Linked DNA regions of Lonchura striata. The protein of the gene in region 1 interacts with the protein of each later gene in a pairwise test. Links are inferred from orthologs where the notes say so. Each region holds a gene or a part of one and is shown on either strand. Other genes may lie near its edges.

Region 1 (6,871 bases):
GTCCCAGCCTAAAGCACTGGTGGCTGTGACCTGATTCTAGAGAATATTTATAGAAACAAGGGACTGATGTATAATTATTAAAAGCCTATAAAAACACTTCATTTGGATTCTGATTATTTCCATTCCTTCCCTGCCTCTCTCCCCCAGGTTATTTCTAAGCATTAGCAGACATTTATATTCATTCTAACAATCTCTGAGTTTGAGCTGATCAGAGAGTTAGCAACTTAAGGACTTCTGAAGAACTTGTTTGACAGTGGAAGTAATACATCCCACTTAAGTAGCTCAAACTTTTTTTCCTATTTAACTCAGAGTGCAAGGGAAATATTTTACAGGAAATTAAGTTTTAGTTAATGTATTATGTAAACCTGATACAAATACACTACCTTAAATGGACTCAGTTACGCTCAGGTGTTCCAGGCTGACAGTTTAGGTTACAAAATGAAAAAGCTGTTACTACAATTAACAACTGCACTGTGTTGTGGTTGGACTTGATGATCTTATTATCTGTATTCTTCTATCCTATTCCATACATTAAACCAGCAAGGAATATATACCACATCCATACCTTCCAAAACCACTTTAATACAAGGTTCTAATAATAAACATTCTCTGCAGTGCAGGTATTGAAATTTAACTTCCTTATAAAAAAATAAAGTGGGGGCCCAAACTTAAGCTGGGCTCAAGTGTTCTCTGCTGTGCCCTCTGCCATCACCCGGTGCACTGACACAAAGTGATCAAAGCCAGATTTGATGATGAAGCGCAAGTAAGTGGCTTGGAACTCAGGAAGCTGCAGAAGGAATAAAATGTCATTGCATCCTCTGTAGTAACAAAACCACCAAAGCACATTTGCAAAAGTTTGTTAAACACGAGGATCTGGGTACTTCAGGGTTCCTTCTTGAACTGCACATAAATCAAGTTCTTTGACCTGCAACTCAAAAAAATCCCATCACCTCCTGAATTCTGTAGCCTTAAAGGCAGCAACTGAAGGAGAGGAAATTGCCACATTTCTGGAAAGGGCCCTTGCACCTCATTAGGAGCACTAGGCAGGTACAATTTCATAGCATAATCTACAGAGGAGCAGCTGGGAAGTGCAATTTCACACCACAATCTACAAACTCCTCCCTTTAACACCAACTGAGCAATAATTGTAAATAGAGACACATTTGGTTTCTTTATGGTTTCTCCCCACTCAATCCAGACATGCCATTTCATGAACCACTACTGATGTACACTGCAAATACTCACTGTAAATTCTTCCATTTGTAGCTGTCCTTCTCTGTGCTGCAAATCTACAAAATATATTTTAAGGTAAACAATGAAGAACAATGTGCAATGCAGTGAAGTTTTCACTGGACTCAGAGTTCAAGTGAGTTCAAGGACAATGAATTTACGCTACATATAGACATTGTTCTTTTTTATTTTTACAGGTGATTTAAGAGAATACATTTTTGCAGTATCCCAGTCTGTGTATGTATATATACATCCCACTCATTACAGTGTTATAACAAAGTCACCCAAGAGGCACTAAAAAAAGCCAATCCCCAAGCCAAACAATCCAGGAAATGGCACTCTATTATACTATGTAAGCCTGTTTTTAATTTTTGGAACATAAAGTGCACAAGTAGCACTTTTAGCCCTTATACAGCAGTTTACTCTCTGAACTGCTGCAGAGACCAGCAGTTAAAAAATTCACTTAAATGTGACTGTTACATTAATGTCTAATAAAATAATCATCACCCCACACTTTACTCAACAAATAGATGAGGGGTTACAGTGATTCACTGAAAAAAACATTGCCCCCCAAAAAGCCCACAAACTCAGTCTTACCTTTTTCAACACATTGTTCAAAACCCACAGGGTCCTTAGATGTGCTTCTTTCAATCCTTAAGGTCCGCACTAAAATATATATCAATTCAAAATATCAACACAAGTTCTGATTCTTTATTGACACTGATATCTATTCCATCACTTTACAACCACAAAACACTTTCAGAGCATTAACTAATTTTTTTTTTCTCTACGCTATGGGGATTGTGGATACAAAGGACAATTGCTTTATGAAAATGAATCTTTATGCAAAATTAAATCTTTATGTAAATTAAATGTTTACAAATCTCTTAAAAGTGGCTACATACCGACTATGACACTACTGTGGGAACTTTTAAGGCACAGACACGCATTTTAATATAGCACATATTTCCTATGGCAAGACACAAAGTCTTACCCAAATAACACTGGATGGCGACTTTGCTGATTTTTACACATTTGGGAAATCCAATAATCAGTTCCTGTGGGAACATGCCCGTAGTCGTCCAAAATGTTTTGGAACTTCTGTAGAGAGAACAGAACAAAATCCTCAACTGAAGCTTTCCATCTATAACCATCTTGAATGAAATATACCACAGAAAAACATGGAGTGGAAAGGAAGGGGAAAAGCGGAGGGGAAGAAGGGTGGAAAAGGGTGGAAAAACAGGGGGAGAGCGAGGAAGGGAAGGAGAGGGACGAAAAGGAATAGGGGAAAGAGGGGGGAAAGGAAGGGGGATGCATTTTTATTTGGGGTGCTTTCAGCAGGGCCCTGTACAAGGACGGGGCCGCTCTCTGGGGCGGCCCCGCACAGGATTGCGACGGCGGCGGGCGCCGAGCTCTCCCACCGTGCGGCGGCTCCAGCGGGAGGGCGAGGGCCGCGCCCGGCGGGCTCCGCTCCCGCCGCCCCCGCCGCCCTCACCCGTCCGCCACGCTCTCGGCGGGGTGCTCGGCATCGCTGGACGTGGCCAGGACCAGCGCGGCCCCCGCCGAGCTCCGGCACCAGTCGGCGGCTCCCATCGCCCGCCGCGGCGCTGCCGCTCCCGGGCAACCGCGGCGGCTCCTCCCCTGCGGCCGCGGCCGCCGCGGGGAGCCGGGCCCGCCGCTGGCCGGGCGGGGCCCCGCTGCCCCGGGCCCCGCTGCGCCCCGCCCGCCGCCCGCGCGGCCCCGCCCGCCGCCCGCGGGCGCCGCGGGGCGGGAGCGCCGAGCCCCGGCCTGGCTGACGGCGCGGCCCCTCCCGGGGCAGGTAGGTGGCGGCCGGGGGGATCGGGGAACCAGCGGGATTCTGGCCTCCCTGCCCGGGCGGAGAGGGGCGGGGTGGGGACCCTTCCCCCGGCGCCCTTCCCCCGGTGCCCCTTCCCCCTGTGCCCTTCCCCCTGTGCCCGTTCCCCCGGTGCTCTTCCCCCGGTGCCCCTTCCCCCTGTGCCCTTCCCCCGGTGCTCTTCCCCCGGTGCCCCATCCCCCGGTGCCCCTTCCCCCTGTGCCCCTTCCCCCGGTGCCCGTTCCCCCGGTGCCCTTCCCCCCGTGCCCCTTCCCCCTGTGCCCCTTCCCCCGGTGCCCGTTCCCCCGGTGCCCTTCCCCCGGTGCCCTTCCCCTGTGCCCGTTCCCCCGGTGCCCGTTCCCCCGGTGCCCTTCCCCCGGTGCCCCTCGGGGCAGTGCCCGCTCACGGCGCGCTCAGCCCCGGGCACAGCCCGATCCCTTCGCAGACCCTTCCCAGCTCCTCTCCGGGTTGGACCCCATCCCTTCGCACCCGGCTCCCCATCCGTCCCGGTACCCCCGGCCCCCCTGGGGCAGGGCCCGCTCGCCAGCCCCGCCGGCCGGGAGGCGAGAGGATCCTGTCCCTGCCCTGCCCCTCGCCAGGGCAGGTCTGAGCTCTCCTGCCCCCCCCAGACCCGCTCGCCAGCCAGAGCCCCCCGGCACCGGGGAAGGGGCGCCGGGAGATGCCCACCCTCCCCGGGAGGGAGGTTCCAGCAGGCTCCATTGCCCAGCTGCAGTCAGACATGTGCCCTCCTCTTCCTCCTTCTCCTGCCTGCAGGAGAACCAGGCCTGGTTGTGCGGGCACTTCCCACTCAACCCCTCTCCCGCTGCCCCTGTCTCCATCCCGGGCCTGGGATCTATCCCGGGGGTCTCAGCCAGCCCGGGGTCCAGCTCCCACTCGGATGGGGTGGGTGGTTTGGTGGCAGGCAGCTCACGCCCCTGCTCCACACAGCCTGCCCTCCTTGCTACGTGGCCATGCTCAGGGCTCTAAGGGGAGCTGCCAGCTTTGGGGGCTTCCCTAGGTCATGTTTTTGACTGTGGCTGTTCTTCACTTGTCTGTGATTTGTTTTTACAGAGCTGGTCGAGGGGAATGTCGTACTGTCTCCACTCAGAAAGCCATTTGGATACTGGGCCAATATACGTGCGTGAAAATGGGAAGCTGCATGTGGTAAATCGGGGTGCAGGCAGCGTACAGAATGTCACTCCCAAAGCAAGACCTTTCAGTCTGTTTTCCAGAACTTTTTCAGTGGAGCTTTGCATGAACAGGGAGGATGATAGGGCAAGGAGGCAGAGGACTGATCATTTCATCTTCACCTACACCAAGGAGGGGAACCTCCGCTACTCGGCCAAGTCCCTCTTCAGCCTAGTGCTGGGTTACATTTCTGACAATGTAGATCACATTGACTCGTTGATTGGTTTCCCAGAGCAGATTGCTGAAAAGCTCTTTTCAGCAGCAGAAGCAAGACAAAAGTTCACAGAGCCAGTGACAGGACTGAGAGCTCTGCAGAAATTCACTGAAGCCTATGGCAGTTTGGTGCTGTGCTCACTGTGCTTGCGGAACAGGTAAGTGTGTCCCCTAACAAATCTTGTCTTCTGCTAGCACACTTCAAACTTCCCCTAAATTAAATTAAATAAAAATACATTTTAGCCTTACAACACCACGTAACATTAATTAAATGCCCTGAGCACTATCTGATTCTTGTGCTTTTATCCCATCCCTTTCCTACAAGTGAAGCTGTAGGTTTCATTTTAAGATACAAATCATAACAGAGGTAACAGACTGCCTCTGCTTTAACCAACAGGGGATCTTATATGGAAGATTAAACCTGCAACTATTTTTAACAATAATAATAACTTCTGTGGAAATCCGTGTGCTGAGTGCCTTCTCAGGTATTTCATGGGATGTCTCTTTAATTGCTGTTTAAAAGCTTTTCAACACACTTAGCTGACTGTACAGATAAAATACACCCCTGCAAATTGTTCAGGTTTACTAACTATAAGCTTTCTGATATGTCTCATTTTGAGGGCTCAGAAGAAGATACAGACTTGTTGGTAAGTTGCAGGCTTTAAAATCAAGCAGATTTTACCTTGTTACCACCCCATATTGGCTGTACTTTAACGAGGTCCTGATTACAGTTCGGCACTAGTTTTTCCATCTTCTCAGTGCCCACATCTTTAACTGAAAGAGTCTTGCCAAGTTTAAAACTGGATTATGTTTTTAAAGCCTTGCTCCTACTGAAGTCTTTCCCAGTAATAGAACCCTTCTCTTCCATCTCTACACTTGAAAAAGGGATGGTTTATCCAGTTTAAAATCAAAGTACTGGCATATTCATCTGAAGTACCAAGGGTGTTCTGAGCACAGTGGGAATGTTTGAGTAGAAGTCAATTATCCTTTGTTTTATCCTTTAAACCTTCTCCCTTTTTATCTCTAGCACAGATAATTTTATGGGCTTAATTTAGAAATTAAGCTACTTCTGGCATCTTTTGCCATTACAGAAAGCTGAGTTAAGCATCAAGTCTTTGAAATCCAGGAAGTAAGGCATTAAGGCATTTTCTGATGAATTTTATTTCTAAGAGCCCACTCTCCAGAACCCCCCTGAGCTAATAATCTCTCTCGAGAACTGGCTTATGCTCTGTTTATTGTGCTTTTTGCAGAGCCAAATTGCACAGGCAAGGGGTTTGAGTGGGGTGGTTTGAGGGGTACAATTACACTGGGATGATATTAAGGTCCTCTTGTTTGCATGGACAAAGAGGTGTTCTTGGAGGGATCAGGTTAATAATCACCCCCAGTATATGCAGTGAAGATGCTGACCTCAGGGTGTGTCTTGCCATGGGGAATACAAGGTAAATTCAGGAGGTATCAGTGAATTTGGAGCTTGTCTTGCCACAGGGACAGCAAGAGGTGACTGCAGGGGAGGTACTGAGGGCTACGTGCTCATTACTGCATACTCATGCCTGCCATTCTTCAGTGGTTTGTTCCCATCTCTGAACCTCCTACTGAATAGCTCCAGCACAGATGTTTGCGTGGCTGCTGAGTGAATCACACCAGGGAACCAGCACAGCTGAAAAAAAACCCAGAGTAACTGCTGCCTCAGCTCTGGCCAGTCCTGGACTTCTACCTCTACTCAAGCATTTTATTGACATATATAAAAACTAAAATTTTGCTACTGAAAGGCTATCCTGTCCTGTTTAAAATCCATGTTTGAGGTGGATTTTAAACCTGGATGAATGTGGGTTTGTCTGTACCTTTCCTAGGAAGAGCAGTTTGTGAAACTGACTATAAACTGAGACATTTTGCATTATTCTGAAATAATACAGCAATAATCTGTAAAGAAGCTCCTAACAGCAATATTTACAAGTTGAATCAAATCTAAACCATGACAGTGATTTAAGGAGAAGACTGGGAATTCAGACTTGTGTGCCAGCTGCACATAAAGAGGTACTTAGTGCAGCTGGGTAATTTCTGTCAATTTTCGCATAGGTACTTGGCAGAAACGAGTGCATTGTGCTTATGGCACTTGGGGATGTGGACTTACATGCCTGAGCACTGAGGGCTTTTTTTTTTTTTTTTTTTTTTGGCTTTGCAGGTACCTGGTTATCTCTGAAAAGCTTGAAGAAATTAAGTCTTTCCGGGAGCTGACGTGTTTGGATCTCTCCTACTGTAAACTTGGAGATGAACATGAGCTGCTGGAACACCTCACCAAAGAGGCCCTGTCTAGGTACCAATTTCTTGAGCTAAAAATGACTCTTTCCTACCACTAAGCAGTTCAAAGAATCAGGCTGAGACTTTAAAGGGAAGTTTCACAGACTA
Region 2 (7,118 bases), on another chromosome or scaffold:
ACATGGCTGGAGAGAAGAGCCTGCTGATTCATCCCTGAATAGAAGGAAAAGCAAGGGGATTTGGTTTTTGCTCTTCTAGAGCCAAGGTTTTCTGAAATGGCTTGCACAACACTTCAGGCAAACCTGACAGCTCCCTGCTTTGGCCTGCTCTTACAAAACTCTGTGAGATCCAAAGCAATCACAGGATCACAGAACAGAATATGCTGAGTTAGAGGGGACCTACAAGGATCACTGGGTCCAACTCATGGCCCTGCACAGGACCATTCCCAAGAATATTGCCCAAACGCTTCTTGAACTCTGTCGGGCTTGGTGCTGTGACCACTTCCCTGGGGAGCTATTACAGAGCCCAGTCATCCTCTGGGTGAAGAACCTTTTTCTAACATCCAACCTAAACCTCCTCTGACACAACTTCAGGCCATTTCCTCAGGCTCTGCAGAACTTACATATGCCCATATTACTACATGAAAAAGATCATAAATCATAACCTTTTCTAAACAAAGACTTAATGCTTCCGAAGACCTTATAATTTCTCCACATAATGTCTCACTAGCTTGGATAGTTAAAAGGACAGGAACCAGTAATTAAATACCTCAGTGGTTCAAGCTTTACCCTCAAAGGTATACTCATAACAGCCAAGCCTGGAATACAAGTCTTTCACATTATGTTGTTAATAAATAAAGCCAGAAAGGAAGTATTTTACATTAAGTTGTTAATGGGTGTATTTTTGACTCCATTACAGCTTCTTAATGGTGTTTTGAAGGAAATTGGTAAAGCTCTCTGCTCACATACTATTACAGAGAAGGAAGGGTGTTTTGGATAGTGACAATTACCCCTAGATGCATTAACCAAAGTAGTTTTTATTTAAACATTTTTAGCATGCTTGCTTACTTTGAGCTGAGTTGGGCTCATAATATTTAGACAGGAAAATCTGGTAAGTCAGCTTGCTTGTTCTCTGATCAGTTCAAGCCTGTGCGGAAGACAACACTCTGTTCTGAGTGGAAGCTATTCTGTATTTCAATAGACAATTAGATCTGTCTTTGTAAAATGACATAGAGAGGCACACATTGCTCCAAACTGTGCAGGCATCAGCCAGCACAAATTCTTAATTAATGTGTTGCCTTTCTTTCACTTGACAGCCCCAGGTGTTCTTTCCCTCTTTTTATTCTTTGTCATCCTCTTTAGCCCATCACACCAGTACACTTCCTCAGAGTAAGTTTCCTTGCCCTTTTCAGTTTAGTCTCTTGTGCCAGTAGTGCATCTCACAGTATATATTCTATCCATATTTCTGTTATTCTGCCAGAATCTCTAGAATCCTTCAAAAATGCCTGCTACTGCCAGCTGTCTCTCTACAATGAAAACCTTTGTGTAGTGTCTCCATAGTAAGCTTAGACAACAATTCTTTTTATTTTATGCCTGTAAATGACCCTTGAGATAACACAGGAATTATCTTCTATTGTCAATTCAATAATCTCTGTTTTGCTAATAAGAGCTCTTTTCCCGTTCTTTTTGACCTTGGTGTAGCTCCCAGTTTTGTGTCACTGGCTCTTCATAACCATTTCCTTAGGTCTACAAGAGCTCCCGGTTTCATTTCTGATAGGTTTGCTCCTATTTATGTAATTGCATTTTTTTTGTTTCCTCATATCTTAGGTCACTTTCACTATAGTGGATTTTTTCTGCAACAGAGAATCTATTTTTCCTGGTCTGCTTTACTAATTTATTTTTTTAATAATACATGGATATTATTGTAGCACACAGAAGAATAACATATGGGATAGGACATTCCTGTTCTTTGTGCTGTGAATAAAATTGAAAAGGCTGCTCCAGACCCAATAAGGATTAAGGACATAAACAGGTCATCCAAAGAAAACTTATGTGATTTTAAAATGGTCATGGAATTGGCCTTTGCCAAACTGGACAGTATACTGGGAGCAGGACACTTCCAAATTGGAAATGATGCCTATGTTTCAAGCATAGAAGACGGGCAAGATATTCATGCTGTTCACAGCAGTAGAGCCACAAGGGAGATCAATTCTCTTGCCTTTGCCAAAGACCACATATGTCTTTGTGTGAGCTGATGGCCAGCTGCTTCTGAGGTTAAAAAAGGCAAACATTTTATTCTGGATGAAATAATTTTGAACACATAGTTAAACCTGGGAGTTGACTGCACACAAAGGTTTTATGGATTTGTGCTTTTGGCTGAGGCTGCACAGAGCTTCAATGTAGAGGGAGGGGGAAAAATAAAAACCTTTTTCACAAAGTGTTAACAGCCAGCTGTACTCACTTTCCTCACCTCCATAATCCATCCTGACTAAATAAAGTGGTGTCTTCACCTCATTTTTCTTCTCAGGTTAGCCTCTAAATTATTTGGAGAAAAAGATGCCACTGTGAAGTGCTCAATCTTCTCCTCTTTGTTTAGGCTTTACCTTTCTATCGTACTCTCAGAATCATCCTAATTTCTGCCATGAAGTTTTCACATCAGCCCAAAGCAAGACTCACATATGAGGCAGGATTCAGCTGCCTACCTTGCTCCCTTCTCGCCTTCTCCAATCTCTGCGCCCACCTTTCCACCATGCAGAAATACTCCTTTTGGTTTCTATTTGGGTTTTTTTCCCTCTTTTTCAGATCCTATCCTTGGATTTTAGCCGATCCAACTACACCTCACACCCTCCCTGGGCACTGCTCGACTCCACGTGGTGGGCGGGGGCGGGTACCGAGTGGTAATATCGGACACGACTTCACTGCTCCCGTCCCCAGGCAGCCGAGGTCTTCCCTTCTCTCCCATGGCCTCTTTCCCCACCTCTTCTCTGGCGGGGCGGCCCCTCGACGAGCGGCTGTGGGAAGCCGGGCCGCCTCCGCTGCCGGCCTCGCCCGACCCCACGGCGCCCGCTCTAGTCCCGTGTGGGCAGCGGGGCGGATGGGAGCGGGCGGGCCGGACTCACCTGCCAGCAGGCACTTGGCAGCGAGCTTCACCATCGCGCCGGGCCGGGGCAGGCGGCGGCAGCCACGGCGGGCGGCAGCGGGGGCCGCCACCACGCCGAGCCGAGCCCGTGGCAACCGCGCGGCCCTGGCAACCGAGCGACCGCCCGCCCGTCCCCATTGGCTGCGGGCCCTGCTCATCAAGGCCATCCACAGTTATTATTTGTTCTCTTGTTTCTCCCCGCCCACTACGCGTGCTGTCAATCAAATCAAACACGCCGCCCCTCCCGGTGGCGCCGCGGCGGCACGGGAGACGCGAAGGGGAGTTCTGCCTGGCAACTAACGATGTCATCGAGAGCCGGCTTGTTATTGGGCAGAACATAGAGGGCCTGCGCCACGGGGCTGAAAGGACCCTCTGGGCGCACGGCAGAAAATGACACAAGTTACGGGCAAGGAGCTGCGGCAGCCCCAAGGCGGGCAAGCGGGGCGAGAAGCCTCCACTTCCTGCCCGCGAGCCCGCGGAACGCGACGTTCCGTGCGGAAGCGCCGCGGCTCCGCGCGCCTTGCTGCGCATGCGCGCGGCGGGCGCGCGGCCTGGCCCGGCCTGCGCGTCCCTCGCGCCGGCGCCGCCATTTGGGTCCCGCTGCCCTCAGGGCCCGGCGGCTGCGGGAGCTGCTGCGGGCGCGGAGTTGTGCTGCGGCGGCTTCAAAGTCGGCCACAAAGCCGGGTCAGCACGGCGGGAACAGGCGCTTTGCGAGGCCTTCTCATCCTGAGGGAGTGGAGCTGCGCTTCTTCCCTGCCCGGGCCAGCAGCTGATCCGCTCGCATTTGCTCCAGTGCACACTTTTCCTTGTGTTTGGCCGTGTTAATGTACTCAAGGAGAAAGTTCTCTTGCTTGCTGATTTCTTAGCTACTTTCTCTTTTTTCCCCCCCTCTTTGTTAATATTTGCAGCCTTTCCTTCTGCAGTGGTTAATTGCTTTATTTGTTTTTTCATATTTTAAAAATATTTCTGCTAAACTCTCCCTTGGCTACTATTAAACTATTTATATGCCCTATTTTATTCTTTGAACTGATTTTCTGTCTTCCTTAAGCAGTCCAAGTGAGTGGGTTTTGAGTGGGGGCTGAAAAAGGGGACCACGAAGCTTCCTGGGTTTTCCCCTCCTTACAACCTCTTTGAAATATCTGTGCCACCAGAAAGCATACCATTAATAGCAATCCATACATTTTTTAGGGTGTAAACTTTGCTTGGCTGCACTTTGGATTGTTTATTCTGGAACAGAGTATGTGCTTACTGTGGAAAGCAGTGCATAAGCTTGGGAAGAACAGAACAATCAATACTGCATATGTATTTGGGTTATAACATTGGACATTCCAAGGGTCGAAAATAAAGTTTTCAAGGTTTTATTTTAATGTCAACATTTTATTTTAATGTGATTGCTTAGAAGGCAGCTCTTTTACTTTTCCTGGGATAAATTGCCTGTGACATGTCTAACCAGGCAAGCAAATAGCATAAAATCAATGAGAACTTATAGCTGAATCAAAGGAGCTTCCTATATACCCATAAAATAACATTGGGTAGAACATTTATGTTCATGTGATAAAAACATGAGGAGGACTTCACTAGCCTGGGTGGGCAGACTTCAATGGTAGATGATGACTTGTAGTAAAATATAGTGATGGAGTCACTAGTCTTCATTTAAAAGGGAAAAGAAAAATCAGTACCAGGTCTCATTATTACGTTCTCTGTTTTCCATCCCCAAATCTTCTATCACATAAAACAGATGTGGGCTATTGATCTTCTCCATCACTTATGTCTAAATAGCTTACCTCCTCTTTCATCTTTTCTGCCTTCCCCTCCATCCTCCAAGAAATTCACTTGTCTCTGTGTCGTTCCATTTTTGCAAACTTTGCATTATCCTTTGTTGTCTATTTCTAATATTGCCCCAGTTTACTGACAGGTCTCCAAGCAAAGGCTTTGAGGCTCCATTATGATGTACTTGAGGTTTTTTTATTGTGGCTGCAGTGTGGTGGTATCCATCAGCATTTACTGAGGTCACAAACATCCTCGCCATTTTACACTGGGATCGCTGCAATGGAAGGCATAGATTATGTAGGAAGTGAGACTTTCATTGCTACTGAAAAGTTTTGCTTGGAATCTGGATATCTCCTCCCTGCTTGCTGCTTTCATATTAACACCCTGTTCCTTTATCCCATTCCCTCATTTCCTACTGCTGCATGCATGTGTGCACAGAACTCTTAATGGATTTGTATCCTCTCTATTTCTTTTCCTTTTACCCCACAATATATTTTTTTTTACCCAATCTATCTTTTCCTCTGCCTGACTTCTGTTCCCCTACCAGCACTGACAGTGATAGATTAAGGATGGAATTACTTATCTACACCTTGTAATCCAAACAGAATCGCAGTCTGCTGTTAGCAGTCCACAGGGGTTGCTGCTGAATAAATTGGAATGCTGGTAGCTGTGCTCGCTGAAGCTTCTCTCGTCTTGAGTACGTGAGAAAAAGGGGAAGAGGAACCCTGTGGATTTAAACAAGAGAAAAACCCCAACAACAGAGGGTGATGCCCTTACCCTAGAGAAGTGTTTATTAGGTTAAATCCTGTATTTAGCAGCTAAGGAGGAATAGAGCACTCTTCATTCACACATTTAATTTTTCCCTCAAATGAAACAAAATTATTTTGAATGAGAAGTGCCCCTTCTCTCATGTGAGCAGGAAAAGTTTCCTTGACAGCCACAACACCATGAAATTTGAAGTCACATTCCCTTAGGTAGTGGTCACAAACCAGCAGTCAAACTGCACATGCAGTCTGTGTGTCGTGTGTGGCTTGCATTTCATCCAGCTGCTGAAGGCAGGGATGGTGGAACTGCATCTCCAGCAGGAGTGGCAAGGAACTTCAGACACTAGGTAAGGCTCTACAATGGGGATTAAACTGAGGTCATGTAGTCTTTTAGACTGAGATATAGTTGGTGTTCCAGATTCTGTCAGGCGCTGCATAGGTCACTTCATTATCTTCTTCACAGAACATGCCTGTTAGAAAGTGATTTTTTTCTGAGGCCGAATTCAGTAATATTACTAGGACTTGTTTTCACAGTTGTTCATCCACCAATGCAAACATTCAGAACTGAGCAGGTTACAATCTGTAACTTGAACGTGCTGCCTGTTAAAAGCTATGAGGAAGAACTGTAGATTTCTTTGGAGTAAGCAGTGCTTCTCAGGAGGGCATTAATGTTGAGGAAAGCGAATTAGTAGGTCTTTCTGTAAGAAATCTCTTAAATACAAAGTACTTTTAAAAATCTTATGTTACTAAAAGGAAACAGTGTGACAAAATGGCTTCAGAAGTATCTTGTGAATGAATATTCCGAGTTCATGCTGCTTTTTAAATCCTCATAGATTCTTATAGGATTGACTATGAATGTTTACTGGTATGTCTGGAGAGCTGTGAAAACTGCAAGAAAGGATGTGTAAATTTTATTGTAGATTTCCATTCTTTACACTTCCCCCAAGTGGTGGAATAAATAGATACTCCATCTATTTTGAGGGCTACTTCATTTGGCATCCCCCAAACCCAGCTTTTATTTCTCTTCAGAGTGGGGCTATTAGCACAGAAGTGAGAATTTGGATGCTTTCTCTAGCTCTGTTGATAACACCATTATAGTTCAGGTCTTCAGATTTTGCTCTTTTGTGGTGGGGGCTGAGGCACAGATCTGAAGGCTTTTTGGCTGACAGTCAGTGCACTGAAATGTAAGATGATTACAAAATGGTTGAATCAGCCAAAGGATTTGTTGGCAGTTACAACAGCCCTTCTGACTGATCTGGCAAATCTGCCGTTTGTTTCTGATCTACTCTGTTGGGACAGTGGAAGTTAGAAATGGATGGCAGTTGTGGCATCTATGGAAAGTGATAAATTACTAAATGTAGGGTAGGTACCTCTACAACTTGGTTTGAGTATGCTAATTGTAACTGTTATGTCCTCTCTTCTGATGAATATGAAAGGAAGGAAAGATTTCTCAAGGATGCATTCAAATCCACAAGGATGAAGATAAAGAGAATTTCTGGAGAGTAATTATTCTGCAAATGTCTGGAAAAATTCCAGCTCGAATCTTTATTTTCTTGTTCATGCACATGGAAGCTTGAAAATACGCCAGGAAGAAACCCTGAAATCTTTATTTAATTTTTAATAAT

The links.
Region 2: the proteins of IFT25 (region 1) and IFT27 interact in binary tests that used the Homo sapiens proteins (3 or more experiments, as listed by UniProt). The two-hybrid records come from large-scale screens. The link is inferred for Lonchura striata from reciprocal best matches to the Homo sapiens genes IFT25 and IFT27.

The regions. Positions count from the first base shown.
Region 1 is NC_134611.1:8,997,873-9,004,743, reverse strand, and holds IFT25 (intraflagellar transport protein 25 homolog), read right to left. Parts: upstream 2,881-6,871; 5' UTR 2,824-2,880; coding exon 2,726-2,823; intron 2,332-2,725; coding exon 2,225-2,331; intron 1,897-2,224; coding exon 1,828-1,896; intron 1,290-1,827; coding exon 1,246-1,289; intron 788-1,245; coding exon 680-787; 3' UTR 563-679; downstream 1-562. Other genes in the region: LRRC42 (leucine-rich repeat-containing protein 42), read left to right, coding at 4,151-4,623, 6,648-6,779. UniProt on the Homo sapiens protein: Component of the IFT complex B required for sonic hedgehog/SHH signaling.
Region 2 is NC_134607.1:22,988,140-22,995,257, forward strand, and holds the start of IFT27 (intraflagellar transport protein 27 homolog), read right to left. Parts: upstream 3,054-7,118; 5' UTR 2,974-3,053; coding exon 2,940-2,973; intron 1-2,939. UniProt on the Homo sapiens protein: Small GTPase-like component of the intraflagellar transport (IFT) complex B that promotes the exit of the BBSome complex from cilia via its interaction with ARL6. Not involved in entry of the BBSome complex into cilium. Prevents aggregation of GTP-free ARL6.